Linked DNA regions of Drosophila melanogaster. The protein of the gene in region 1 interacts with the protein of each later gene in a pairwise test. Each region holds a gene or a part of one and is shown on either strand. Other genes may lie near its edges.

Region 1 (15,603 bases):
CTTGTGGGGATTTTTAATGAAATTTTCCTTGTTCTACACACGAACAATGGGTGTCATTATCATTCCAGTTCGTCAGTCAGTCAGTCAGTCAGTTAGGCAGGCAGTCAGTGAGTGAGCAAAGTCAGTTAGTCAAATATTTGTATAATTTGTCTTTATTGTCATTGACATTAGGCACATTTGTTGCCTCGATTATCTGGGCATTCTTTAAGTGGACAAACAGCTGACGCTGCTAATGGCAGCGGGCGGAAAAGGGGGTCTTGAAGTGGCTCTGTGGTTTCGCTGGTGGGTGGTTATGGTGGTTTCCAGGGGTTGGTGGTTACCCAACTCAGACTTTTGCTATTTTCCCCAAGATAAGGTCTTCCGTTAGTGTCTCTATTTAAGCGGTAGCTGTATAATTTCTAGTTGTGTAATTTATGTCGGTAAAATCTCAACAATCTATACATTATACATGGACTAACTTTTAAGAAAATATTTAAATATAATGTGATTTTTTTTTTGTGGTGTCATAAAAAGTTAAACAAATTCCCTTCAGCAAAAAACTCATTTCCCTTTCAAAACTTCTTCAGCGTGAACCACTCATGCGATTCCTGGATTACCCCAAAACAAAGCCGGCTCAAAATTCTTTTCAACTTGAAAATATAAGCATTTTTTTTTTTGCTAGTACAAATTAATTCCACTCCTCAGCGGAGGATAATAAATGGTAATGAGAAACCAACTGGTACGCGACACGCAGCCAGGAACAGGATAATCATCGGGCAAGATAAGCAAATTGACGACGGCCATGGAGCATTGAAGATACCAGCGCAAGTCCGCGGCCCCACACAACGTAATTATTTCAATATTTAATGACTCTAAAAAATCAAAAGGAGCCTATGCTAATGACACACTCACAAAAAAGTTGGAGCTAAATGTTAGCTTAGTTTAAATGTTATGAATTCAAGTTATTAATATTAAGCCACTCCTAAACAACAAATTTCTTATAAATACTCAAACTCAATTCCATCAAGAGGTATATTCCCAAATTGTATAATTTAAATTAAATTTCCAGAGTATGGCATATTAACAGACACAGGATTTTTTCTGAAGGACCTCGGACCCACGCAAAGGACACTCACCACGGGCACAGGTATCACGCAGTAGACGCAGGGATGCCCACCAACAGCAGCGGCGGCGGTGGCGGTCGGCAGTCCGTAGGCGGCGCACAGATGGTGATCCGTCTTAAATATCTTTGTTGGCGGCGGCTGGGCAATCAGCGACGAGGAGGTGCTGGAGCACGTGTACAGCGTCGTGGTGGTGCTGGTGGTGTTGCTGCTGCTGTTGCAGGTGTTGCTGTTGCAGTTACTGCTGCTGCTGCTGCCGCTGCTGCTGTTGCCGCTTTTGCTGCTGCTGTTTATGTTGCTGCTGTCGCTGCTGCTGCTGCTGCTGCTGCTTGTTCTGCTTGTGGTTTTGCTAGCCTTTGCTGCGACTGCTGTTCCTGTTGTCCCGGCAACACTTGTTGTTGTTGCTGCCGCTGCGGCTTCCTGTGGTGGTGGTGGTGTTGTTGTTGTTGTTGCTGGTGGCGGCGGCGGCGGTGGTGGTGGTGTTTGCTGCTGCTGGCTCAAGGAGCTGGCCTTAGGATATTTAGCGGCTGGCTGTGTTGCTCCTGCGGATGTTGCTCCTTTCGATGTTGCTGCTACTGTTGCTGCTGCTGCTACTGTTGCTGCTCCTGCCGCCGCTGCTGCTGCTGCTGCTACGGATGTTGTTGTTGTCTGGACAACTGTTGCCACCAATTGGCTGACAGCTGCTGCCTTAAATTCGCCGGACTTTTGCTCCTGCTCCTGCTGTGGGTCCTGTTGGCTGAAATTGGCTAGCTTCGATGTTGCTGCGGGCAATGGCGAGGTTTTTCTCTTGATTGACGCAATTTTAATGGCTAATGGTGAGCAGGTTTGATTGTAAATTGATTTCCTGGGCTTGCGTCGGTTTTTTTTTTCCGCCTTATTATTTGCGACTATCTGGGCCTTTGTTTTGAAGTTTTCCTATTGATTTCTTATTATGAAGAACATTGACTAGTTTGCTATGCGATTTTATATTGGCTAAACACTGAACACTTATTTAAGTTGAAATTTTATTTACTTGATTTGCAGTTACTTAAGCACACACATCGATAGACACAATTATTTTCGTTTTTTTTATTTGTTTTATTCAAGCTAAGCTTTTTCAACTAATTTTTGGTTTTCTTTTTTTTTTTTAATGGCAATTTGCTAAATCTTTTTCACTCACAATTAAGCTAGGGTTTATGTGTTTACTTTTAGGCTAGAGTCACAAATTTAATTTGGTTTTTTTTATTTCAACTTTATTGTCTCTATTTATCGCTTAGAGTGTGTTTTATATATTTCTTATTCAAAATAATACTGTAGATCTTTGCTTTGGTGTTCACTTCGAAGATTCCTTTAATATTTAGTTAATTTCTTTCTTACTTTCAGAGTTTTTAACCCTTTGTAGTTGTGCTTTCGTCTGACTTTAATTAGAGTTCTTAGTTGGCTAAGATTCGTAGGAATTTTCGCTGACAATTGTTGCGCTGAGAGACTGGAATCCTTGGACTACTTTGAGTAGTGAGTTCTTGAGCAGAATATTTGGTGTAAACTTTTTCGATTTTCACGCCTTGTAAATAATACTGAACTTCACTTGCACTTTACACTTCGCGGTTCTCTCAGTGGCTAATTATGTATAAATATATTTGTAAATCATGGACAGAATGAACTGACTTCGACGCAGATTACGTATACGCACGGAAAAATGGAAATATAAATATATGTATGTATATATTTAATGCAGAATCTTGCGGTATGGCTTTTAAAAACTTTTTCTATTTCGAAAAAACACAAAATGGCGAGCTTGCACTGTGTTGAAAGGATGTGTTTGCAGGACTCCTTCGTGAACTCCTCGCTATTGGCTATTTGTTAATAGTAGGATTTGGTTTTGGGCTTGAATTTGATATTCGATTAGGACTTCGATTCGATTTTGGCTTCAGACTTGGCTGTTGGTTGTCTCCGGCAATCTCAGTGTGCTTGGGGCTCTGTGGTCGCTTTCCGCTTTTGTGGTGCGCAAAATGAGGAAAAGGCGTTTGTAACTGAACTTGACAATCGTCGAATGGATTCTGAATTTCTCATTGAGTAAGGTTTTTGAGTAAGGCCTCAGCTCAGCCTGGCAGATTCGTTTCGGCTTTCCAGCTTCGGTTTTCCCGACTTCGTGTCCTCAAATGCATTGGGGAGCCGGCAAAATTGTTTTCCAGCAACAGGATCCACAAGCCGACGCAGGCGCAGAACTCAAAGGCGTTTCGTATGCCATTCAGCACTGCAATTTCAGTCGGAGTTGGAGTAACATATATCCCCATCATTGCCGTCTGGTCAGCAGGAGCTTGCTCAATTGAAATGCATCCCAGCCTATATGGTCGCAATTACCTTAACAACTTCGGCCTGCTCTTGCAATTGTCAACATTGAATTTAATCACAAATTACTACGTGACCAAGCTCACAAAACTTTTTTTATATAAGAAATATAAATATTTTGTGTTGCACAAACTTTTTAGCGCACAAACTCAAACACTGTAAAGTTCTTTCTCGAAACATTTTCGGCTACGAAACTCAAATAGAAAATGCCAAAGAGAAAATTATACGCGGGTATGAGAAGGGCAGGGATAACAAATTATTCAGGTAAAATCCAAAACTGGGGTAGGAAAAACGAATCAAAAGAGTGTAAATGATATTTCCTTTTGGACTCTGCAGGAAAGTATTTAATTTCCTAATTACTGAAGTGGGAAATAAGAACTTAGACTGACAAGTCGGAGAATGCCGAAGGGAAATATTTCGTTTTCTGTAGCTTCTAGTTTATCAAACGGATTAGTTTAAATGACAGTTGGAAAATGGGAATGCACAGATTCAACTTTGAAAGAGCTGAAAATATGTAAATAATGAACAAAATGGGAATTTCAATCAGAATTATAAAAAGAAAAATCCTAAAGCTGGAAAGTGCGATAACGGAGTTTTCCTAGATTCTGACATCCTCTTGCACTTGCAGTTTTAGCTACAGTAAAAGTCATAAAGAAATGATTTTGTTTGGCCACTCAAACTTTTTGAAAATTTAATATCCAAAACTCTCTCCAAACTTGACATATACAATTTTTAGCCATAAAAACGCGCCCATTTTCATCACAAAGTGCGGTCCAAAGTAATTTTAAATATATATATATATATATATATCTTCTCTTAACTCCATAAACTTCAGCAACTTGCCCGTTTTCTCTTTTATTTATTTACTTTCCTTTCTTCATTTTCCTGTGTAGGACACAAAATGCGAAATATAATTTTCATTCCAGCCACAATAACTGACGTCGACTGAGGCGCTGACTAAGCGCGAATGTTTACAATTTTTGCCGTATTTTCACCACCCTCAACAACAAGTTTTTCTTTTTCCCAGAATTTTTATTTTCATGTGGTCCGCCAGCGTGTTGTTGTTGCTGCCGTAAGTTGAAAGCTGTTTAAATGAAAGAACGTTCCCGTGAAAAAAAGCCAAAGCAACGCCTGTTGGCCATTAGAGGATGCCAAATAGATGTTGCCTACAAAGCGAGCACACCTGGAGGGATTGCAAGGAGTCTGGTGAGGGGATTGGATTGGGCTACCTAAAAACGCAGCAAACGAGCAACATCAGCCCCAGATTCGTACCACACACCGCCCCCATCTCTTAGTATTATGCCGCAGAAGCTTTGAATAGTTTATTATATGGCAAACATATATACAACATATACACCAAGAGAAATTGGAAAAACCGGTGTAGTAAATATACTATATCGTAGATATTATGGTTTATTAATTAGATTTGTTTTTTATTTTAACTTTTTATTGATAGATAAGATCGTATATAAAGATCCCTTAACAAATTTTACCATATCGTTTGCTGTGCATTCGTATAACACGCAGGTAAACCGGATTTCGTCAGTTGAGGAAGGACGAAGGGTACTACTTACAAATGTTGCCTTTGTGCGATTTCCATTTCATGCTTTACATTTTTTTTTCCATTTTTTTCATTTTTTTTTTGTGCGTTGCTGATGCTTAGAAAGCAAATGCATAAATTATGATGGAAATTACACAATGCACAAAACATTACACCCCCTTAAAACGTGTAATACCATTGAAATTAGCAAAAAGGAAATCCAGCTAAAATGCTCCTTTCTTTGCTGGCCAGTAATGATTTTTCAGGTATAAGGATAATGTGGCACTATTGGCCCGATTCTCTCATCGAGAGATTAGACTGCCTGCACTGCAACTGTCAGGAAATTGATGGGGAAAATGGTTAGAAGAAATCCATATCATTGCCAGGCCGTGGCAGCCGCATCAGCGAGAGCAATTTTCCACTCAAATGCGTACTCGGTTCCCTCTGGTTTCTCGATTCCCACAGTTTTTCCCCCGTGATTTTTCACCCATTTTCGTCCCGCATTTCCCGGATTTAAAGGACGCTGCGTATGACACATGTCGATTGCAGTGGCGCCCCCTATCGGCCGCAAGGCAAAAATGGCGCCTTCTATGTGGAAAGAAGCATCAGAATCAAAAATCATCAGCCTGAGTCCGATTTGAATGAGCGATTGAGTGAGTGACTGTGTGACTGACTGAATGACTGACTGGCGAGAGTGCGACCGAGTGAGCCGTTTGATTGCTTGATTGATGCACGAAGCTATTGATTGATTGATGCCTTTGTTGATCTCTGATTGCTTAAATGTTTGCCCAACACTTTTTTTTTAACAGGCTATTTCGAATTGCTTTCGAGTTTCGAAGGGGTAATGGTGACTTTCTACGTTTTAAGACTTAAATCATTTTCGTAAAACTGTACACTTCAGTTAAATAATAGATATTCTAATATTGTCTGTATTATAAAGATGCAATATGTATTTGACTTACGTTTGAATAGTTCTGGGATCTCGGAATCTGCGGCGGCAATTGCTGGGCATTCGATGGCCCCCTCATGCTAACGCCTCCACCTCCCCCGCCGCCCTGCTGCTGGTGTGGCGGTCCGCCCATCTGTTGCTGTTGCTGAGGGGGCGGGGCTGGGCTGTATCGTGGGTGCATTTTTTCTAGTTTCTTAATAGCACTCTTAAATTGACTTGTGACTGCGAAAAGGGGAGTAAATGAGATAATGCAGATTAGAAAGAATGAGTCATAATTGTAAATATTCTATAATCTTAAGACGTTGCAGATATAAACATTTGCATTAATTGGAGATACAGTCTTAACTAGACCCCATTTTTTATACAGATCAACTGCTCAACCTAAATTAATTATGACAGTTTGTTTGTAATTAATTAAATCATTATTATTATTAAATAATAAAACAAAGATTATATATTTTAATGTATAAAATGAGGTCAGTATTTTTTCTGCTAATTAAACTTTTCGTCTATTTTTCTACCACTTTTTTACAGCCCAACCCGTTTGCTCTGACTGCCGCACGGCAACACTGTTCTCTGCACTCTTCTTTCTCTCTCCCACTCTCTATTTTTATTGCTTCTTTTTAGCATTCTGTGCCATATTCAGCTTATTTTGCCGTGCTTATAATTTGTTATTAATATTTCACTAGCAACTTTGTTGATTATTATTAGCACCACCCGTCTTAAATTGTTTTTTTTACTTGCAACGGAGCATTCAGCGAGTTATTTTAGCACTGTTTCTGTCTCTTTCCCGCGCGGCAGTTGCAACATTTGCATTTTGGCATTAAAAATAGCACACAGCACAGGCCAGCCAATTTTTTTTGGTTTGCAAATTTATTTATATGCCGCCAGACAGCCACAAACACACAGGAACACACAATAATTTATTGATATGCGGAGGAAATTATTCAATTGTTTTTACGCTATTGCTTTTTATCAATTGCACTTGTTGTTGTTGCTATTTTTTGTTATTGCTTATTTAAGGACAATGACAGCAAAATAGAGAAGGAGAGCGCAGTGCACAAGAGAAAGAGAGTAGAGAGAGAGAGAACAAAGAGCGGGTGGAAAGAGCACCGGCAAACAACAAGTGAGCAAAGCAAAAGGTGAAAAATAAATTTGCACTGCGATAAGATTTAAATAATTATTGCTCTCTCTCTCTTTCTCTCATTTGACTTTTTCGTTTTTCCCAGTTGTATTATTGTTTTTCGTCTGCTGTGCTGTGCCGTTCTTATTTTTGTATTTTTATGCCATTGCTTTATGTATTTTTTATCGAGTGCATTGCTCTAAAACAACAACATTCGCTTTCAATTAGCTGAGAGCCGCAAATTTGTTGCTTTTGCCATTGTTACGTCTGCTTTGCGGGGCTTCCAAAGGTAGTTTTTCCTCTTGTTCGATTTGCTTTTGGATTTTAGCTTTGCCTAAATGTTGCTTACTTATTGAAATTTCGTTTTATTGCTGGTTTGTCAGCTGCTGATGGCTCTTCTTCTTGCTTCTTGTTGCACGTTCTGTTTTTTTTTTGCACACAAACACACGCACTCACAGTCGCACAAACACAACACACACACACAATCTCACGCCCACGCACACTATTTGCACTTGAAAGTAATTCGACTCGTTTTCGTTTCGATTTTTCGCCCTTTTATTTTGCTGTCTTCGTTATTTGTTTGTTGTTCCGTCACGCGTTTTAATTTATATATTTATGCAAAATATTACAACGACAAAATATAAGTTTGCGCAGCCGAAAAAAACGAAGAAAGCGCAACGCGACAGCAATCGGCAATGGTATGAGCTTCTTCTTCTTCCTTTTCTGCCGGCAATGCTCTCTTCGCTCTCTCGCTTAATTTACAGCAATCTACAGTAGCGGAAAATAGTCTAGGTGCGACTCATAATATTAAATATTTTCTTTTACTCTATGTAGTTTAAACATTGTGTAAAAAAGAATTTTCAGCGGCGAGTAGCATAATAATAAAGGTCTTAATAAAATAGCACAAGAACTTTAACTTCGGGTTGGATATGTGGCCGTGTAGCAAATATATTCTGTGTACATACTCCTTTTTCCGCTACTGTATATATTTCTTCTCTTCAAATTGTACTCTCTTAGAAAATTTCTCTTCTTATTGCCTCTTATTAGCTTGCGCTTTGCTGTTTAACGAAACTCTTTCGGGTTTCTACTGTATTATTTATAACAATTTTATTAATTTCATGCATTATATTTTTTTTATTTTCTGGAATAAAATTCAAGATTATTAATTAAAAAATCGAAATAACATTGTAAATATTCGAAAATATGCATTGCATACAAAGTTTTCGTCATTACATTTCGTCACTAATCAAAAATAAAGATCCGATTTAACCAATTAAAATCACCATTTTAAAAGCCTATTTTCAGTGCTAAGTTTATATAACTTTCCTTTTTCAAATTTGATACACATGGTTGTCAGTTTTCCCAATCCCATTATATCAGTTCATTACGCAAATGGCGCAAAATAAAAAAAAAAATAAAATAAAAACGTGTGCACCAAAAACTGTAAAGCCAGCAACAGCATCTAGTGTGTTATTTTGAAATATTTAAATAAAATTAATATTCTCAACAAGTGCGTCGCATAAAAGGGCGACACACACCACACGTCCTTCCGCCCGCTTTTCACCAACCACCACCCACCGCCCCATAGCTTTTGGCACATAACAAAGGACTAAGGGACTAAACAAATGATGCATGATGACGACAACGAAAAATAAGCAGATAGGGGGTTAAAACTGAAAAAATCGAAATGAGAGCGACTCCCACGCATTGTAAAGCACTGCCACGCCCACTGCCCACATAAAACCCAACCACTCAGACAGCAGCGGGCGAAAAAATATAAACATTTAAACTTTTACGGCGACTTTGATTTTAAATATATATATATATTTTATTTTTATCCAGCTTGATACATTTCAATAGATAACAACTTTTTTTTACAATTAAGCTTTTATATCTAATTACTTGACTCGCGACTGTAACATCTCCAAGTATAAATACATATATGAAGACAGCCTGTACTGCCACTCCCACCGCCCCATAAGCCTACAAACAATAAATTTGCAATAGCAACGACAAAATTTGAAGAATGGGCCAGGACCAACAAACAAGAAGCAGCATCAGGAGCAGACAGAAAGGACAATACTCGAAATGAAATTGGATGGAACAAAAAAAAAATGTTAATACAACAAAACATGCAAGGAATTTAAATTTATCTTAAATATGCAAATTTACTGACACTATCGAGATATGCAAATTTTCCAAAGCAGCAGCGGCAGAAAAACAATATACAACAAAAATGAAGCAAGAAATCAACGAATTTTAAAACAGTGAAAACTGGTAAAGAAAGTTAAATAAATATGTATACCTAATAATTTGGACATCCAAAATTTTGAAAAAAAATTGTACTTTATTATATTATTGTTTGTCCCTGCAATAATTAACTACAACCTTTAAATGAAATCTTTCTAGACAACAATAGAGAAACTACTGTATCTGAAAAATGGGCCAAGAAATCAAAAAACGCCAATAAATCGAAAGATGGGGCAGATAGTAAAAAAAAAGAAGACAGTATCTCACGCACAGTGGGCTGAAACACTTTCGTCTAAAACGCATGAAAAATAACATATTGGTAGAACGGGAAAATGGCATGCAAGATGGATGGGCTTGGGGGGTGGAAAGTTGCCAGCGGATCGGTGGAGGGGGGGAGGGGGCGTGGCAACAGCCTCTCTGCGGCCAAAATGACGACGCGTTGGTATTTTCATTAAGTTTGGCACCATTTTCCTTTTGTTGCCCACTCCAAAACCCATTTTTTCCTACACTGCCTGCCTGCCTTTCATACATAGTTTTTCAGCTTGCGTTGGTAGGAAAATTATTGATATTTTTTAGGATGTGGCTTAAAAAATATTTTTGTTTAGTAAATTTAAATGTCAGAAAATTAATAAGTTAACTTACCCGTCTTTCAGTTTTATTGTTTTTTATTTTATGAAGTAAGAACATTAATTTATTTGGGCTATTTGCAAAACAAAAAAACACATACTTTATATATGATCCACATTGATACAATGTAGACACATTTTTGCTCAGTGTAGAGTTTCTTGGCCACCGCTTGAAGCGAAAAAATTCTTGTCGCGCAACAGCAGCAAAAAGGAGAAGTAAGGGCTTTCGGGGGAAGCGAGCCATAGGGGAGGGGGGCGGGGGCAACGCTGCTACGTGACCGTAAGCAATTTGCAGTGTGGGCGAAAAGGCCGGAAAAGCGGCGAGTGAGGGGGTGGCAAAGCAAGTGGAGGCGATGGGGTGCAGTGGGCACTCCTCGCTGCGTAATCGCATCAAGAAAGTGAAATGTCAGCTGTTTCCATCATCTTGGCGCTGCGCCTCTGTCGGCATGTGACTGCCAGGAATTCAAGCTAGTTAAAAAATAAAAAAAAAAACGATAGAATCATGGAATCTAAGGGTCTACAGGCCAGGAACTACAACCACTAGTTTCCCAATGGAATGCATTGTATAGGTCACTGCGTAAGGACCAAAAAAAAACAGAAAAAAACAATAGGGAAAACTACAGAACCAGAGCAAGTGAAGTGTACGAAACGCTTTTGTTGGCGCGTGATCTAAGGATAATTTATGACTCGCCCAAGGAGAGAAATGTGCGCAGGCAGAGGCAGAGGTTGTCACAGGACACGACTGACTTTCAGATAAGGAGTGCTCAAGGCGAGCTCGAGAATTTAAATTCAATCAAACTGCAGTCGGTAATTGCTCGGCCATGAATGGCTAGCATCTCAGTTCAAGGTTTTCCTACGCAGGAGGTGGGGAAAAAAACGAGGATATCATATAAAATATGATTTATCACTTATACAACTTGTTATTCACTTTAAAAATCCACGACAAACTGGTATTATTACACACATAATTATACAAGAAAACAATCCCCATCCTTATTTCCAAATTAAATGCCACCATCGATGTTCTTCGCTTTGGTTGTCGATACCACATTAATATGTTCACAAATACACATCAAAGAACATCCCCATATTTGCAATATATTACGTTCATAATCCATTTTCGACCGAGCAGACATTGAATGTCATTGGTGAAATTAATTTATATAAAATGACATAGATTTAATATGCGAATGAAGGAAGAATATTGATGTTGGCTGGCCCATTTCCCTTCCTCCTGCTCAACCATTTCCGCGTAATTACCTCGACGGGTGTGTGTGTGTGTGTGTGTGTGTGTGGGGAGAATCCTAGGGAAAAGGCGGAAAAGCGGGAAAGCCATGGTGGAGCAAAGCCAAAATGGCGGCGTCGCCGGCATCATCATTATCGCCATCATCGTCGCCAAGACATCGTTAAATTAAATCTATTGTCGACGCATTCAATGTGCATATAAATCATTTATGATCTTTCAGCCAAATGCAACAGTCGAAGGGCGCAAATGTAGACATTACAACAATTTATTATTTAATTATCTATGCCGCAAAATTTTCACTCAAAGGCCGCAAACACAGAGCTTCAGCCATCCGAAAACCATAGTACAAACATTAAAGTGCACCATCCACATACACACATGGCCACAGTGAATATCCCCTTTGAACAAAAGAGCCAAAAACGAAGACAACTGGGTCTGAGCATTTCATAAAATTTGATTACAGTGAATGCGTAAAGTTTACGACCAAGTGAAGGGAATTAACTGAAAGTGGCAAGGCGCTCAAACGCACACACATGCTGCGGCGGCATCTGCGGCTTTCCTTTCCTTTCCTTTCCTTTCCTTAACTCTATGTCAGGGGAATACCACGCCCACTTTTCCGGCCCCAGTGCTGCAGCCACTCGTCGGTCCCCGGAAAATCCATTAGGCGGCAAATGAAAATGGTTCTTTGGCATCGTATCTGCCGATCATAATTTTGTTGTTAAAGCTGCAAATGTTGATTATGATTAGGAATTTTGAAAAATACTCACAAATATTTATGGCTATGCGGATAAGAGGGAAACATTTGTTGTAATTTTTATTGATTATGTATATTATAAAAAATATATCTGATTTTTTTTCTGGTTTGTCCTTCTCTTAAAGGTTTCTACTGTTTAAAAGTTTTTGCAGACTGATTGATAGCTTAATAAAAAAAACTTCCTAAAGGCGTTGTTGCCATTTTTGGTATACAAATTGTTTTTTAGCTCCTTGAAGACCAACTTCATTAGTGGATGCTGCCAGACTCCTGTCCAAAGTTGGGAAAAATCACAGCATTTTGGGTGAGTGATTGATCTGCAAAATGTGTGGGCCAAAAGATACTCAACTGGCTTAAAGGGAAAGGCTTATAAACTAACTTTAAACTTCATTAAGCTACGATGAAGTATTTTGCCTGTTAAATAATAGCAAAAAGGGTCACAGCCTTAATATATTATAGCATTCAGTTATGATGTATAATTGTTCGTATCATTGGGCTAATCATTCTAACTCATTCATATTTAACAACTAATTCACAACTTAAATAAACCATCTAAGCTTATTACTGATGTACATAAATGGCATTAAATTAAAGTTCTGACTTTCGTTTGCGAAATCTGCAATTTTTAAGTACTTAATTCTAGCTAGTTCGCCCTGAAATCGGCTTATTGTTTTTGGCATAATTCTGTTGTTCTTCCGCAATTGAAGCTGTCAAAATGTTGATAACTCTGTTACAGTTTTCGGTTTTGGTCAAAATCCCATTGGATGGGAAAAAAAAGTGGTGAGTAGGAAATTTCCCACGCAGCGGCGGCAAGCTGTCGCATTTTGACAATCTAATCTGCTTTGGTATTAATCCTTTTTGCCACAATGCTGGGCAAACAAACCTCCCTTTATCTACCCATTTACTTCTTCTTCAACCCACTTTTGTAGGCAATATTTGCGGTCGTAGTTCTATTATCTCTCAAGTCCGAGGCCGCAATGACTCCAAATTGCCGGGCTGTAGACCCCGCAAAATGTTTCAGCCGGCGAACCACAACCCTCTGCATAAACCCAAAAACCACACCCCTCCCCCCCTCCATTTTCCGGGGGCGCTAACGAGCTTTAAACCGCGTAAACATCTGTGCGAACAGAAAACAGATTCGGACTCACATTTTCCGCTCGCAATCGGTAAAGGATAGTGCCTTTTCCTTGTTGGCTGGTAAAACCCTTTTCAGGACATCACTTCCAAAAAAACAAGGAAAATTTATCCTTGGCGGTGTTCGTATATTATTTTCTTTCTTGGGCTAAAATTAAATTATCCTAGAACAGTGACTGGGAACCAGCGATTGCCTACTGGCTGATTCGATTAGACCTAATTTGATTGGGAATTCATTTGAGTAGATCTTGAATATGAGCTAGATGACTTTTGTACACAGAAAAAAAATAGTAAACCACATTAAGAAATGTGTTTATTAACAGAATAAATGACTCATTAAATTATTATTACAGGATTGTAGCTTTGGAAATCTTTTTAACAATATAACTCATTACGATTGGTTTTATCCTTTTTAACTATTTTGCTATATAAATGCGTAAATCTATTGATATTTATTTTGTTCTATGTGGACCTAAATCCAATCCGCTTTGCTTTCACCCTAATCGGGTTATTAATAAGCATTCATTAGCCGGCGGGCAGGGCAATAAATAAAATGCCATCTATTATGTACAAACGATTGCATTTCCAGCCAAAACAATCACTTGATTTATTAAATTTATCAAACAAAAAATGGCTATACCGGAATATATATCACTGGCCACTTGAAGCCAAGCGTTTCGGGGGCTGTTCGTGTATATATATATATATGTATATATATTTAAAAAGGGCCTAACTGCGTTTATCATGCGCCACAGGACATTGCCCACAGTCACCTGGAAGGAGGCAAGAAACTAACTACGGTCCCCGAAATCTTCATGGAACCCCAGCTCTCCAGCATTCCGAGTGTTTCGCTTGGCTGGGCAGCAAATGTTCCATGCGCCGAAAACGCTCCGAATAATGAAAACCAAAGGCAAAAAGAAAAAAAGCCAAGGAAGTTCTGGATTGAAAAAGAAAGGACGAAGTTACAGGCCTCGATGTACTCAATAAATAATGGCACTTTAAAACGGTGGTGTCTTTCATGCTACCCACTTTATTTACAGCTGTCTCTGGCAATTTCATTCTGACCTCAAAGCTCCCATATATATATAGTCCTTGTTAGTCGGTGCTAAGTATTTTTGACAGGACATTCGTGTAATTTAAAGCTGCCCTACCCTTGGCCATTTTAGTTGTCAGCTTTGTTAGTTCCAGTGACAAAGCCGTTTTGTTCTGTAGTTAACGTAATTAAAGATTACAAGTTAAACGAAAGCTCGGCTTAGATGGGTTTAAAAACTTGTAGTTTGCTGGACTAATTAAAGACGATGTCCTGACGTTAATACATATCCAGAGACGATGGAAACTAAAATGCTGCAACAAAATTACCACGCATAAGCCACAGCTTGAAATTATGTTTGAAAATTGAAGATAAGTGAAAAGAACTATCTAGCCCGAAATGGGATTAACTAAAAATTTAAGATTTTATTTGCGTATACTTTGCCATGATTTCAAGAAATCTCTCCGCCACAAAACATTTGCGAAAGTTTCATTTGCAAACGTTTGCCAAAATGCGAATTTCAATTTCCCCCGCCAAATAGATCGCAAAATGTTGCGAAAATTAATATTGCCTCGTGTCCCGCCCAACAGTCGACATAAATTCTTCGCATTTGAACCATAAATAAAATTCCAAAAATTCCGAAAACTGCCGTTGACCCATTTAAGGATGCCCCTTTTTGTGGGGCGGGCAGCCCATCTAATTACATACGTTTTGCGGATGAAGAGAAGGGGGAGGGGGGGGGGTGAAAATAAATGGCATGTGTTGACCTTATGCCTATGACCCCCAAATAGATTATGCCAGATGATATGAAATCTGTAGCCCAGCCAACTAAACGGAATCCTTTGCGAAATGAAACGAACTCAACTGAACCGAACTGAGTTGAGCGGAACAGAAAATGTGCAACACGCGATGAGCATAAATTGCAATTCCAATTTCCGGTTTCTGTTTCAAATGTCGCACGTTTCGCCCACGCCCCCTGGCCCCACCGCCCATCAATTTGGACGCTCCTCTGCCTACAGCCACGCCCACGTCGCTTCCTTCAACCCACACCAACACACACAGCTGCCGCACAGTGCAGCGTTGCACAATATTGTTGCAATTCATTTAATATATACGTTGCTCGTAGGTTACTGGGCAATTTTTTTTTTGGGTTTCGTAACAAATGTGTGACATTCTCTTAAGTAGCAAAAGGTTCTACTTGTTTGAAGCAGGCAAAATCAGCAAAACAAAAATATGTTGCCTACTTTTAGACGCCTTAGAGAATCCTTTCGCAACATAACAACAAAAACTATTAAAAAATTGTTTTCGGTTTTCATTTCCATTTAAGGCGCTTAGCCTATCGGTGCAAATTTTGAATCGAATTTAATTCCCTCGAAATGCAATGCTCATTTTTCTAAGTGCCATGTCGCTGCTGCAATTGTAGTTCATATATATATTTAACCGCCTAAATACTGTTTGGCAGTTGGTGCGATTGTTGTTTGTGTTGTTTGTGTTGCTGCTGTGCAGTTGTTATCGGCAGCAACCAA
Region 2 (15,288 bases), on another chromosome or scaffold:
ATACTGATTCAAAAAAAAGTTCACCAAAAGTAAGTAGTTGAAGATGAAAGTGGTCGGCAGTTTGCATATCCTCTATTCGCTGGCGATCCTAGTATCCCTACATTCTCTCGTCGCGGGAAACTCTTCGGTGGTGGCGGTGACCCACGAAAACTTGCAAGGAATAATCGATTCTAATGAGTTGGTTCTGCTTAGTTTTTACACGGATTGGTGCCGTTTTAGCCAGATTTTGCAGCCCATTTTTGAGGAGGCGGCGGCGAAGGTTATACAGAAATTCCCTGAAAACGGCCGTGTGATCCTGGGAAAAGTAAACTGCGACACTGAAGATATATTGGCCGATCAGTTTGACATACTTAAGTACCCAACGATAAAGATCGTCAGGAATGGATTGATTGGCAATCAGGAATACCGTGGCCAGAGATCGGTGGAGGCCCTTTTCCAGTTCGTGGAAAAGGAGCTATCAGATCCAATCAAAGAGTTCCATAACATTGATGACCTTAAAAACGTGGATGTTGGGTATGGAATAGTCATTGGTTATTTCATTTCCAAGGATCATGCTGAGTATGATAACTATCGCAGGGTAGCGAGCCTTTTGCGCAACGATTGTAGGTAAGTTTAATGTATCCATTGAACAACTCATAATCGATCAATATCTGTAAAACAATTTGTGGAGCTTTTGTAAACAAATCTATTAAATATATATCTAATTACAGGTTCCTTGTGGGCTTTGGTGACTTGACTAAGGACCTCCGACCGCCAGGAAAGAACGCGTTGATCTTCCGAGGCGATCCATCGATTCCGAATCACAAAAACCAGTACAGTGAGTACTTGGGCAACATGACCAGCTTTAAAGAACTAACCTTTTGGATCGATAAGACGTGTGTGCCCCTGGTGCGAGAGGTCACCTTCGATAATGCAGAGGAACTATCGGAGGAAGGATTACCATTTGTATTGCTATTTTACAACAAGGACGATCTAAGTCCCATCCAGGAGTTCAAGAACGCAATTCAAAGCCAGATGGAAAATGAGACGAGGGTTATTTTCCTGACTGCCGAAGGAGAAGTCTTTAAGCACCCACTTTTCCATTTGGGAAAGTCCCCGAGTGATTTGCCAGTGATCGCAATCGATTCCTTCATGCACATGTACCTATTTCCACGCTTCCAGGACATTTACGATCCAGGTGCCCTCAAAAAGTTCATTGATGACCTGTTCAGCGGTGCACTGCATTATAATTACCATGTGGCCCAGCAGGCTAAGGAAGATTTGGAGTCCATTATCGATCCAACTGAAGACCTGCCAGTCGTTCACGAGTCCAAGTTTAAGGACCTCAAGCCATCCAAGCACCGTTACACGTTGGTCAACCGCACAAGGGACGAGCTATAATATTATCCTACTCTACCATAATCTTTGCTCATGCTTAGGTGTAATCATTTAATATCGGTTTAAGTCAGATTCTTAAACGTAAGAATATTAATTTATTTAACTTGACGCTCAAATAAAATTAATTTGATATCAGTTGTGGTGTTATCTTGAGCAAATAATATGGTATAATATCCCCCATCGGATACAATCCGTTCTCCGACTATGAAGTAAAATATTTTCACAAGCCCATCGCCGACTTCACCAGCATTGAATGCCCCATTTTGGACGCTGTGACAAATCGCACACCCATCATATATGGGCATCTCATCAGATAGTCAGGAGATGACACGTGCCTCGATATCGATATTTCCTGGAAGATCGCCTCAATCCAGAACAGGAACGTCGATTTCATTTGAATATGCTTTGCCGACTGCTCTACACCAGACCATATAAACACTAATAAACTCATTAGTCAAGCATCTTACAAGCAAATCTCACAGGTGCAAAATGCCAATACAATAAAATTGCAGTTCTCTTTGCAATCTAAGTACAGTGAAGTGGAAACAGGACAATTTTGTATATCTTTGAAACTTAAAATATCAGTAAAAATATCAATAAAAATATAAATATATTTTTTTTAACAACAAGTATTTAAAAATGTTGACCGTACCGAACCGATGTATTCTTTAAACTACTAAAAATTTAACGACATAAATTCCAATTGATTTATTATTAAAAGATAAAGTGCACAATTTGCATTTTCGTTGACAGCTTACCACATGTATTCTAACATCTGATCGCATCACAATGTTAAATTCTCGAGGGAGTATCGCGTCCTTCCTTTTCAGGGTCTAGGCTTGGTGCTTACACTTCTACTCCAATATTGTCATAATTAATAATATCTTTATGGTCATATGCCAGCGCAAAATCGAGCGTGACTCGCGATGAAGTATCTGCCACAGCGGCGAGTGCAGCTGCAGGTGCAACTGCCTCTAATCAGCGTCAGCAGCGCGTGCCACTCGCGTTGTCACCTGCACAATTATAGAATTTTCCATAGTCGGGCAGTGCTGGCCACCAAAATGGCCTGTTCCCAAAAATGGTGTCCGCCAAGAGTCCGCGCGAAGTGTCCGCCATAAATAACTGCCAATAAATGTCAACGGTTTTGGCGCATTAACATAACAGCTACGCCGAATTCGTTGACAGGTTACTGCTTTTTCATCGAGCGCAAGACCTACCTGGGCAGCATCTTCCATCCATCCATCTACTGGCATCATTATTTCTCGGGCTAAAATTGAAATAATCGCCTTTTAATCGCCTACGCCTTGACGGGCTGACTTGGCTCCAATTACCGCTGCAATCGTTAACTCTTCTGGCTGACAGCCAAGTTGGACATGAGCCCCTTCAATTGCCACTGGGATCATCAGGCCGATCGACAATAGTCGCGGAAGTCACGTGCGGAAGTTTTCCAACTTTCTCAGTTACAATGTTGGCCGACAAACATGCGAGTTCCGAATTAAAGCTGGAAAAACTTCCGTTTACAAATTACCTGTTGTCTTATTTTTTTGGAAATTAACCTAGTTTTAAAAAAAATTTTATTTAGATCTTTTTTCCGTTATTAAGATGAAGGCATGAACTGGTACTTAGTACTCATTTATATTTATGAGAAAAAGATTATAGTACGTTTGCTAAGATGGATGTTACGGGTAGCAAAGACCGTTTTCGACCTTATTCCTTATTCTTAGCTAGGTCCACTAGCCGAGTCCTATTAACAATGGCCGTCCGTATAAGATCAATATATTTATGATTCAACAAGCAGATTCTGTAAATGCCTGAGAGCGATTATGGGGTATACATACAATTAAATCGATTTTTAATAAAAATATATAGAGTAGCTGCTGACTTAAATACTCCTTATTCCTTCCTTTTAAGTTCGGAAAGATAGCTATAAAATTCATATACCAATATCCTTTTTTCAGCTGTAATAAAGCGAACGAAAATATTTAAAAAATATTTTATATTTTGTGCTTGATGTTCCCGCACTCGAAAATACGATAAATTCCCAAAGCTCAGTGAGACCCAGCTGACAATTACAATAGCAATTTGCCGTGGTCAAATGTGTGATATTTCAATTTAAACTTAACGGCGCAAGTCATTAAACGGCAGATACAACATGTACTGCAATCGGAGGGAAACAAGATGCCGCAAAAAGCGCAAATGTCGCAAAAGACGGCAAAAATCGACAGCAAAAGCAGAAATATCGGTGGCAGCCGCCATTTGAGAGAGCTCAACATATTCAAAGTTGTGCACGAGCGCGATTCCAATTTCATTTTGTGCTCGGCGACAGGGCAAAAACCATTTGCGCAGCAACAAATGAAGAAAAAACACAAACAAAACGTTTTTGTTTAATTAAATTAACAAAATACGCGTCGGATGAGCGGCTAAAAAAACTCGGTTATTTTGCACGCAGACCAACACGCCAACACGTGTTGCAGAATTGGCCCACAGATAGAGAGAGTGTGGCCAAAAGAGAGCCAATGTCAATGACTGGCTTTAAGCCTACTCTTAAGCCCTATTCTGTCCCACTTCCACTCGGCAGCCAAGTGACTCCGTCTCACTCGAGCCACCATTCAGTTGGTGGCCACTCACTCGCTCTCCATGCGAACATAGCTCATGCGCCCTGTTGTCTCGCTCTGCGGCACTCGGCCAACCCGTTCTGGCCAATCGGCAAAAAGCGGTTGAAAAACAGGCGGAGCCTCTCCGGACCCCCGATGCAACTTGGTCGGGAGCCCTCAGCCCCGAGCCCTGATCCCCGTCCAGAGGCCCAAAGCCTGGCCATAAGCCACATGCAAACCCTGCCCCTGCGCCATTGCAGCTGTCGGGAGAGTCTGTCAACCATTTGGCGTCCATGACCAAGCATGACGGCTATCTGGGCCCTGTTTGTGGTGCCACTGCTTCTGCCACTATCTCATCTCGAGTTCTGGCTTTCTGGCTGGCATTTTGACATTTCGCTCGGAGGCTTCTGGAAGCGGTGGCGCCGCACTGCAGCATCTGCAGCCACATCAGTTATCTGTTCCGCTGCGGTTTGCGGCGATAAATGTGCGCCATCATGCAACTGACTAACTGCGGACTTTGCATTGCGTTGCGGCACTGCGGTTCTGTTTCCAGATCGTGCAACTGTGTTATCCAAAGAAGTTATCCTGAACATAAAAATATGGAAAACAAAATTGTAGTATATTTCAAAAGAAATTTGAGATTTGTAAACGAAATGGGAGCTCCTTGGATAAGAAAATACATCAACTTGAAAAGACATCAAAATGTAAAATATGTTGCTTCTGCGTTTGGATACCTCGGAATTATATAAACAAGGAATGTTTTTAATAAATAATGTTTTAAATAAACAAGTATTTAAAAATTGATGTAACAGTTTTTAGTACATTCATTTAAAACAAGCTTGACGTTATAATCGAGCTTCTCGGCTATCAAATTCCCGCCACTCAGCTGGCGGAAGCGCGAGGGAAAAACTTTTCAAACTTCTTTTGAAATCTCGTAAGAAATTGAAAGGAAGAATAATAAAATAATATAATAATAATATATTTTACAAAAGTCTGGCTCGGATGGTTTGCGGGCGTTAAATGTTTTTGGCATGAAATAACATGTATTAAAATAAAAAAAAAAAAAACAGAACAATTTTCAAAAGAGTGTCGTTAGCTTTTGTGGGCGTTTGTGGATTGGGATGATCAACGGTCAAAAACCATCTTGCACTACGTAGAATCTACCTGACTAATCTCAACTTCTAAGCCTTAATTATATATATAAGAATATATATATTTATACCTGTTATATACTACTATGCCCGTTTACTCTACATGTAACGGGTATAAATACGTAATAATTTAAATGCAATTTTGTATTATATATGTACGTTTGGTATAATATGTCGTTATGTTGTCTTTATTTAAATACTATCTCATCGTTGTTGGCTGAAGGTATTTAAAAGGCGCGATCTATTATTTTACATGACACTTTGGCTTGGATTTGTTATTAAAAACATTAAAAACGTTTGCGTGAAAAATTATTTAAAAATAACTTAACAAACTTTATTCAAAAATTTTGTCAAATACCTAGATTACAAATAGCGTACTTTGATTTAAAATCTAATAAATAATTAGGATTTACCGATTTAATATATATTATACAATAAAATTTGTTATTTTTTCGTTTCTTAAAAACACATAAACTTTTTATTTTTCTTTTTTGATCATTTTCCAAGTGCTAAAAGTTATCTGAATCCATCGGTCAAAATGGCTGGTCGTCTGCAAATACAAAGTGGCATTGATGACAGTGCAAACAAGAGCGGCGACAGTCGAAATGCGATAAGGAAATTTGTGCTGCACTCAAATAAATGAAAAGCGGCACGGAAAGCGCATAAAATGGCAGCCGACAAATGGAAGACCATAAAAAATATGCAATTGCGGCGGGCGAGCCATATTAGCAGGTGAAATAATCAAATTAGCTGATAAACCGAACGGGAAACTGCTGGACATTAGGTTCCCAGTCGGTCGGAAAAACCACGATGGCTAAACGCAGCCATTTCCCAGTGATTTGAGTGAGGAAAGGCCAGCTACATCGTTGCCGTTGGGATCAAACATAGCTGCAATACTGCTCTACTGGTGCAGTACTGCAATTCTCAGTCCCCAGGTGGATGTGCCAATTGCATTGATTAACTAAATAAACGCGCAGCACTTGCATTTTAATTTCATTTATTTTGACCTTTTTCCCCGAGGAATGGCAGTTGCAGTTGTCACAGCCGAAATGCGCTGCCATTTTCCCACCCGCTGGCGACACATGTCCGTACCCATAAAAAATGCCTTGTCAGGAGTAAAAAAAAAAAAAAAACTTAAGAAAAATTAACAAAAAATATAAAACGGCAAGCACAAGCAAAAAGATGCCAGTCAAGGGGCGAGCAGTGAAAAAAGAAATAAACCAAGTGCTCCAATAAAAATTCCACCGCCTTCACCCTCGTGTCGACCTGCTCTCACACTCACACCCTCTCTTTCACGCTCGCACTCTCTCTTTTTTGCCCGCTTTTATGGTTTTTTTTTTGTTTTAAGAGCGCATCGCCGCTTTTGCCCTGCTTGCTCTTGAGCTTGGCCAACGCTGCGTATGAGTGGAATTTTTTCAGTGCCGCCGAATCATCGCTTCGCTTGAAATGAATATGTGTGATTATTAGCCGCAAAAAAGCGTGTTTCGTTTTTGCCACTGACTTTGGTAGTTTTTGCGGATTTTTAATTTGAATATTACATGTATTAAAAACTCATTACTACGCGTGGTTCGCCATCGAAGTTGGTCAATGGGCTAATGGTCTGCGGATGTGATTTTTTGTCATTTCAGCGTTTGTCTCTTGCGCAAAATTATGCATTTGGGATCGGAACGAATGTATGCTCCTATCTTCATTTTGGGTGTGGAATTTGCATTATAAAAATTTAAAAAAGGAAAATTTTAAACGTAAATAAATCAAGTTTCATTTGTACATGGTGGCAGAGGAGAGACGTAGAAATTGCAGACTAAGTAACTACATTTTTTACAAGACAATAAATAAAATAATAAAACGTTATTAAGCAATTAAATGGAAACCACTTTCCTGATAACACTTTTGATTAACCCGTCTTCGGTGGCGGACTTGAACCTTCATTGCTCGTCACCTAAACGCCCCCGTGTTTTACCATAAAGATTGAGCTATAAAAACGGAGTGCCGCATTAACCGTTCGCCGCGCAACGAGCAGCGTGCAACGTGCAGCATGCAACTCGCAATATGCTCATTCATGCTCAAAGTCAAGAGAAAAGAAAAGCCACTCAGGCAAAAAGCCCGAAATCAAATCAAAGTTGCTCAAGAGACCCGGTAGCAAAAAGCGAGCTGCAGGAAAAACCACAAACAATTTTTTCCATCGCCCCGAAGAGAGAGGGAGAGAGGCCGCGTGAGAGAGGGAGAGAGCGAGCGAACCACTTTTTGCCACTGCTTTTGGAGCAAAAGGAGTAAAAAGCTGTTGCGCAGGCGTCGCCGTCTGCCCCAAAGCCGTGCCAGCCACGAGTGCGAGAGAGAGACCGGGCGAGTGGAGCGACAGAGAGGGCAGCTATGCTGCGATTTGGCGGCGAGTGCGAGGCATTTGAATGTTTTTTTCGTGGCCGCACTCAGCATTCGAGTTCGGAATTCTTGCGAGCTGGCAGCTACTTTTTGCGCTGCTCGCTGCTGCCGCTTCTGCTGAGCCAAAGCCATAGGCAAAGTCCAAGCCAGGCTAAGCCAAACTAAACCTGGCCCAAACGGCCGGCCACTCGGCCACTGTCCACCAGTTGGCCACTTTCGCGCGCGTTCCAGCCAAGTGCACTCCTCAGTCTGCACTCTCCGTTCTGCAGTCCGCAGTCTGCAGTCTTTTTTGCCCGCGTCTCCCAATCCGCGAAGAATTCTGTCGCAAAGTGCAATGCATTTTCGCCATTCCGCAAGTGCAGCTGCTCCCCCAGCTCGCGGTATCATAATTAAAAATCGAGCCGAGTGAACTCGCAAATTGTTATCACCACACGTCGTCGTCGTCTGAGTCGGTAAAAAACAAGCCAGGCCCTCGAAAGGGTCGAAATTGGTCAAGTGTCAATGCGATCGAGGCCGTAATAAACGTGTTTCAGTGCTCCCCTGAATAGTTATTGTGATCCGCTGATCAGCTGAGTGAATGCAAGTGAACGAATATATTGAGGAGTATCCACTTACTACACGCGATAATTGCGAGAATTTCCACGAGCCACTCTGAGGAGTAGATATCGAATGGGGTTAGAAAGTAATGAAGTCATTCTATAAGTCCCAGCAGCAGCAGCAAGAAAAGACTAGCCTAATAAAATATTTATTTTAGGCCATTTTGCGGAATTAAGTTTTAAGATACTTGTTAACAATAATTTGATAAACTAGTTACAAAATTATACAAACACAAGTTAAACTGTTCCAAAAAGTATATATATTAAATATATTTAAAGCTTCCGCCTAAATCGATAATATATTATATATTTCCATATGTCCCTATAGTAAAATTATAGTTCGGTGATGATTAATAACAAAATTTACTTCAAATGGAAATATACCGTTTTTATTTTGTAAACTGAAACCATAAATTTTTCGTTTATTATGTAAACATTCCATAATTAAAAATTTTTTAAAATTATTTATGAAATCAAATCGGTTGCAACTCATTGCTCACATCACGATTCTGCTTAAATATTATTTACCTAGGTAATCCCAGCTTTCTTTTCTATTGGGTTCAGTACACTCCCGATTCAGGGATAGACGAAAGTAGTTGCTTTCTAACCACATGACTCTTTCCCTACTATTCGCATCTAGCTCGATTTCCCAAAAAGTGAACAAAACAACAAAACTAAACTAAATAGCGCGTTATTTAATTGAAACGTAAAATAGATATTCCGAGCGAACCCCCAAGTGGAACTAATTAGAATAACGCCCTGAACAACCGCCAATCGAAGGTGCTTAAATGATTATGCATGGTACCTGGTACAAGGGACCTCAGTTGGCGCACCATCCTCACTCGAATCCGCATAACAGTTCGCACGGCCACAGTGACTACCACCAGTTCCGCTCGTACCCCTCGTTCGTTGTAACGCCCTACCACGATGGCCATGTCCAGGGCCCGGCCACGCCCACTCCATGCACGGCCCCGCCAACGCCCTGCAACGGTCCAGTTCCAGTTTCAGTTCCAGTTTCGATTCCCGTCTGCCACACCGGCGGCCAAGGTTCGCCAGTAATTGTCGAGAGCTCATTTGCAATCGCCGCCGCCGCCGCTGCAGCGGCTGCTGCCGTCGCCGTCGGAGGATCCAGTGCCACGCCCCTGCTGCCCAGTCCGCCCATCAAGATCGAGCAGGTCTTTGGCGAGCCCTCTTCGCTTGGAGCCGTCGTTGAGGATTACGCGCTGGGACTAGATTGCCCCGTGGAACACACGTTTCGAGTAAGCGCACTAAAAAGTTTACAATATTATGAAAATATATTATATGAATACGACCTGGTATTATTTTATTTAATAAACACTATTAAGTACTTTAATTTGAATGCAACGGAAACTTTTATCTAGCTGATAAAATAAAACATTTACGTTGTTTTTATTGTATAGGCATTAATGATACTGATACAACCGTTTCTTTAATTATCATTTGTTAGTATGAGAGCTTGTATTCTTGGGCAAACGTTAAATCTGCTTGCCAAATTAGGAAATCTTCTAGCTTTTGAGATCTCAGACCGTTTACATAATCGAAAACACAGATAGATAATAATGATCCTAATGATACATCTTCGATTGAATAATAAATCGTTTTTTTAAGTAGAAGTAAGCTCTAATTCTACTGAAGAAGTGCAAAATTTGTGTAAGGTCATTACTCCTGAACATGGATAAATTTACCTACCCAAAACTAACTTCTTTGAATTTAGTGACATGAATATCGAATAATAATTTTTTTTAAGTTTTACTCATTTTGTATCCACTTTTAAGATATTGGTAGCCATTTGATAAATGTTTTCTTTTATTAAATAAATGAACACTTTAGGCGTTATTTAATAAAAAAAAAATAGTTAAAAGAAATCAAAGCTCATATTTTTAATCCTCACCGTTGGTTGCCATGCTTTAGCCATCCGACTGCCGTTTCCTAGCCAATTTTATAGCAGTGTATGGATAATGTTATTATGTCAAATTACTGGTTAGCATCCCCATTGGAGCAGCTGCTGCACTTGTTTGGCTCGACTCTCACCACCGAAAGTGGGCGTGCTCCAAATCAATTTCCATAAAATCATCCAATAACACTTAAAAGCCAGGCAGGGCAAAAAGCCGACAAACACAAGTGGCAGGCGAGTAAAAAACAGGAAAACAAACACGCCCCCAACTCGAAGAGCGTCAGTGAAAGAGCTCTCTCTTTCTCTCTTCGGGGAAAGCAAGAGCACCGCAAAACGGAGAGATCTCTTGTTTCGAGTGGGTTTTAATGGTAAAACGCTCAAGCTTTTGCGTCGCTTTTTCAGACGGTCCAAAGGACACTTTTTGTCGGCTTGGTTCGTGCACAGGATATCCCATAATTGCCTGGCTTACAAAGCTTTTCGCAGTCTAATGCAGATTGACTGATGGCTTCAAGTGGATGAAAGGAAATTAATGCAAATCAACAGGTGGTCCTGTGAAGTTTAAGGACATATGTCAGCCTGTGGAATAAAATATGTAATTCGAGGAATTCAAAATATGATTGATTTTTTTAATTGAATAGCAAATAATATCTTAAAAATTTTAAGTTCTCAAAATTTCTTATATTTCGTTATAAATTGATGGATTCTTATATGCGTTTCTCGTGTGCAGAAATTCCGAGAAATACATTTCAATTACCCGAAAGAAACCATTTTTTTTTTCAAACCTTTTTTGAGCTTTTAATGCATCTTAAAGGGCAAAACCATTTCCTTCTGCTGCTGGCGATGCAAAATGGACGCACGTTCCTTACGCTTATCAGGACATTTCGCCCTCATAGCCAAGCCCATGTGTATATGTGTGTGCGTGAATGCCAGCAAAGGGCAGCTGGAAATCCTTGAACATAAAAAGAAAACAAGCCAAGCATCCAGCACATGCACATAAAAACATATGCTCCTGGACAGGATTTAGTTTGGGGACGCCATCCGACGCCTTGCACTTTTTCCGACGCCGACTGCGACGCAGGCTGCGCTGCAAATGCAACTCCTCCATGCTGATACTGCCTCATTTTAAAGGGTCCTGATACTGCACCCTCGTACTTCTTATAAGCAAATCGGCTTAGACGAGCGTTTGCTAGAAAGTCTATCTCAATATAGATTAAAGGTCTTCCAGAATATATATATAATTATGGTGGAACAATGGCTTAAGAAATTGATACAATCCAATTGAGGTTGAAATGATACAAGAACATTTTTTATTTTAATTAAAAATTACATAAGTATTAGAACAATTATAAGTAGATAATAATTCATAGAAAACACAAGTCTTTTGTCCATATGGTGTCAATAACATATTTTTAAGCTTTATTGATTACTTCTATCAAGGTTCCTAGAACTAAAAAAGTTCTTAATAAGATTTGATCTCCTACTTTTCCACATCGATCTATAAGTAACTTTTAATTTACTCTTTGATCTACTTGGATCAAACAAGATGAATATTATTCAATGGATTTCCCTGCCGCACAGATGAAACTTAACTTGAGGGGGAAAATTGCAGCGGAAAATAGAAAATCATTCAGAGAAATTGCACAGCAAGCGGTAACAAACAAACAACGGGCTTCAGCTGAGCTGGGGAAAACTAGTAAGAAAAAGGGAAATAATATAAACAAAATGAAGGAAAGAAATTGGCGCTCGTGAAATGTTAACAGGGCCAGGAGGGCGCTGAGTTGAGCAGTGGCAGTGGCAGCAGAAGGATATATATCCGCAGTCATCCTCGAGCAGCGACGCCGACAGAGGCAGCGACGCCGACTGTGAAGCTGGCAGCGCTGAATGTTTTTATCCTTTCTTCGATGTGTCGTCGCGGCATATTGCTCTGCTCGTATCTGTGTGTGTGTGTGTGTCTGCGTGTGTAGCAGTGTGTTTGTGCCAGGACATCACACGGTTTCGCTTTTCTTTTACAACTTTTTGTTATTATTTCGTTTTTTGCTCGACGCCTGTAATGTATTTCTTTCAGTTTGCTGGCGTTTTTTTTTTGCTTCATGTGCAAGAAAAAAATAAGCTTTTACTTGGCTTTTTTATGTCCGAGTGTGTGTATGTGTGCGTGTTTGTTACTGCTGCTTTTCCGAGCTCTACTTCTTGAGTTTCCTTTTCGCGCGCGCCATTTCGCTGCTGCTTTCCACAGCTCCTGCTGCTACTTACCCGTACAACAAACATGGCCATAAGTCGCCGGAGCTCGCTTCCGCTCTGTCTGTTTTCCTTTTTCCACCAGTCGCCGGCTCTGCCGCAGTCGCAGTCTCGGCCGGCGTCTCAGCCGCAGTCGGCGTCGCAGTAGCTGCGATTGTTGCATGTGGTCCTGGGTTTGTTGCCTTTGGCGGGCTGCAACTCTCGTTGTCTTCAGTTCGCTTGGGCTTGGCCAAATCTATTGGTCGCGGTGCCGCGCTCACGCTCGCGTCCGTGTCCGTGTCCACATCCGCATCCGCATCCGCATCCGCGTCCGTAACCGTGTCCTTTTGCGGCCGAGAGTTGCGGCCACCGCACGCGAGATGGCGCCGCATCATGACGAGGGCTGAAAAACTCCAATTAGGATAACCGGGCTGGTGTCGGGGATGAATTTGTACATATTTAAAATCTACTGACATCCAGAGTATTAAGGACAAGGACGTGACATAAACGACTCTACCCCTTTCTTCTATTATCGATATTTGGTTATGTCCCAAGAACTCCCTGAGCTATATCAATAATATCTGATCACTATAATAAAGAACTAAAGATCCTTTTCAGCTTATTATGCTTATCTTCAACTAATAAAATAAATCAGAACTCTTATCATAGCTGATCCCAGAAGGACATGTAATAAATAATTGAAACTTCTGTTCTCTTTACGTGCTTACCAGCATATCAAAAGTACCACTATATTTTAAAAAGTTCTTAGAGTCAGAGTGAATTATACTTTAGTTTTTGGCAGGTAGATTTGGATATTGCTAACATTCGAGCACCGTCAAATATGAAAATATGCCAAACGTTGTTATTCTTGTCTACGCCTACAGCAAGCACGTCTTTTTGAAGAAAAACAGGCACACAGGACCTATTATAGGATGTGCAGCACACACACATATAAGCGCCGCTTGAAGACATCGAGGCGAAATCAAAATAATAAAAATCACAAACATGAGCAAACCGTATAAAAGAAACCCAATCTGCCGGAGCTCACCGTTTTCCCCCGATCTGCCGCATGTCGCGCAAATTCAGCTTTATTTTCTATTTTTCCCCATTTTTCGCTTTTCTTACAAGAAAATGCTGCAGTGCGCGCTGAAACTGCAAATGTATGTCTTTATAACGGGCAGTGTGCATATAAAAAGAAGAGAGAAGGGGGGAATTATAAAATGAAAAAGGGGCAGAAATAACAAAAACTGCAGCAGGAGGAAGGTTGAGAGGAGCAACAAAACAGTCACAACACACAAGAGTCTCAGTTAACGCACACACACACCATATTCCTTCATGTTTTGTGTGTGTGTGTGTGTGTGTGTGTGTGTGAGTGTATGTGTGTGGACTTTTGTATGTATAAAACATTCGCGCGCGCTCGCCATTTTCTTTTGCCCTGAGCTGCTGCACTTTGGCTTCCAGTTGGGCTCCTCAGTTGTTGCAGGTTATCCCACGCTCGCTGACGGACGGAGACGTAGACGGACTCACGGACAAGACATCCGGACAGGCGGACAGCCGGACGGGCAGGAGCCAACACAAGCTCACCCGGGAGACCAACTAGCAAGCACTCACTCTCAAATCTTTTCTTATCAGCATGAAATGAGGAAAATTGCGGTACATAGTTAGCTGCAGCTTTAAGCCCCGTATGCGTAATATGAACACCGGTCAACGAGGCGTATACACAATACCAAAGCAGTGCCAACACCAGGATGTCATTGAACACCACAATGGCATTGAATAAAGTTCCTTTTTATGTGAAAAAGTAAAAAAAGATAAGCCATGTTAACGCGAAGCTAAATAAAGGATTTTACGAATAAAGATCCTCAACGAAAGTGCAAAAATAAGGATAAATCATGTAAACTCCGAAAATTGTAAAATTCAACTGCAACGCAAAGTTCCTATCACCCAGTGCAAACTACATTTAGTATACAAGTGAATTATATTCACATTTCGCTTTTAACAAATAAAATAATCTACTTAGTATTTCAAATAAATAAATAAAATATTTATCAATCGAAAAATAATCTCTTAAATAATTGATGAGAAATTAAATTCACAATAAATATGCTGGAAAACGCGAATAAAAACTCACCACTAGACGACTAACTTAACCCACCTAGTGGAAAACGCAACAAACAAAACAAAACCTAAACTCCAGCCACAGAATGAAACAATCATAGATGAAAAGTAAACAAAACTCCACAGCTGAGCAAATAAATCAAAACGCAGAGACAATGAGAACCGACAAAGTGTTTACTAAACAATAAACAAAACATCAAACTGAAAAAAAACAAATTGGTCAGCATATGCAAAAAAAAAAAGAATTGCTACAGATGTCCATCACGAGCAGCACAACCATAAAATCAAAAAAAAAAATGTTCCAAAAATAGCAAACTGGCAGCCAGCAAAACTTTTCAAGGTCGTCGCTGGCAAGTTTCTGGTGGCAAATCATTTCTATTTGTTTCAATTTAGTGCGCATCTAAAAAAGAGCGGGGAAAAGTTTCTAAAGTGCACTCCGCCCCAGCCATCTAAAATGAAATAAAAGTTAAGCCAAAATAAAAAGACATCAGATTTGGTTGCAAAATTTTTGTTTGCTGTTGTTCCGCCCCCTTTTTTCAGCGTGAAATGATTGTGTGTGTGGAAAATCAAGCAAACTGTGCCTCAGTTAGATACATTACTGTAAGCGGGGGCTTTCCCGTTTGAAAGTGAAATTGTCGAGCTGGAGGAGTAAAAAAAAGGGCTGCCTACATCTGGGCTCCACCGAAGTTGGTTGTCATGCACGAACTCATTGGCAAATACAGCCATTCGGACATGGACATGCTGAAGGATCAGCTGAAGCGTGGGGGCTACATGGGCGCCCTTGGTCCGCCCACGCCCGGCACATCCGCCCCCTCGCCCTTCCTGATGCCCGCCGAATTCTACAAAAGCCTGCTCGCCAGCGCCGTTCTGCAACAGCAACAGCAGCACAAGTTCTACGCCGGCACGCCCTCACCCAGTCCCGCCCCCAGTTTGTCACCCACCTC

Evidence for each region.
Region 2: the proteins of shep (region 1) and rn interact in a two-hybrid assay, tested with the Drosophila melanogaster proteins (one large-scale study listed by BioGRID).

What each region holds. Positions count from the first base shown.
Region 1 is NT_037436.4:5,270,225-5,285,827, forward strand, and holds the start of shep (alan shepard), read right to left. Parts: upstream 7,721-15,603; 5' UTR 7,390-7,720; intron 6,140-7,389; 5' UTR 6,099-6,139; coding exon 5,931-6,098; intron 3,111-5,930; exon of another isoform or gene 1,116-3,110; intron 1-1,115.
Region 2 is NT_033777.3:7,301,925-7,317,212, reverse strand, and holds the start of rn (rotund), read left to right. Parts: upstream 1-7,583; 5' UTR 7,584-8,183; intron 8,184-8,737; 5' UTR 8,738-8,885; coding exon 8,886-9,356; intron 9,357-12,258; coding exon of another isoform or gene 12,259-12,621; intron 12,622-14,979; exon of another isoform or gene 14,980-15,040; coding exon of another isoform or gene 15,041-15,288. Other genes in the region: CG10029 (uncharacterized protein), read left to right, coding at 44-606, 711-1,380; CG42544 (uncharacterized protein), read right to left, coding at 12,259-12,621. UniProt on the Drosophila melanogaster protein: Transcription factor involved in imaginal disks development. Isoform rn is required in the wings, antenna, haltere, proboscis and legs disks, while isoform roe is required in the eye disk.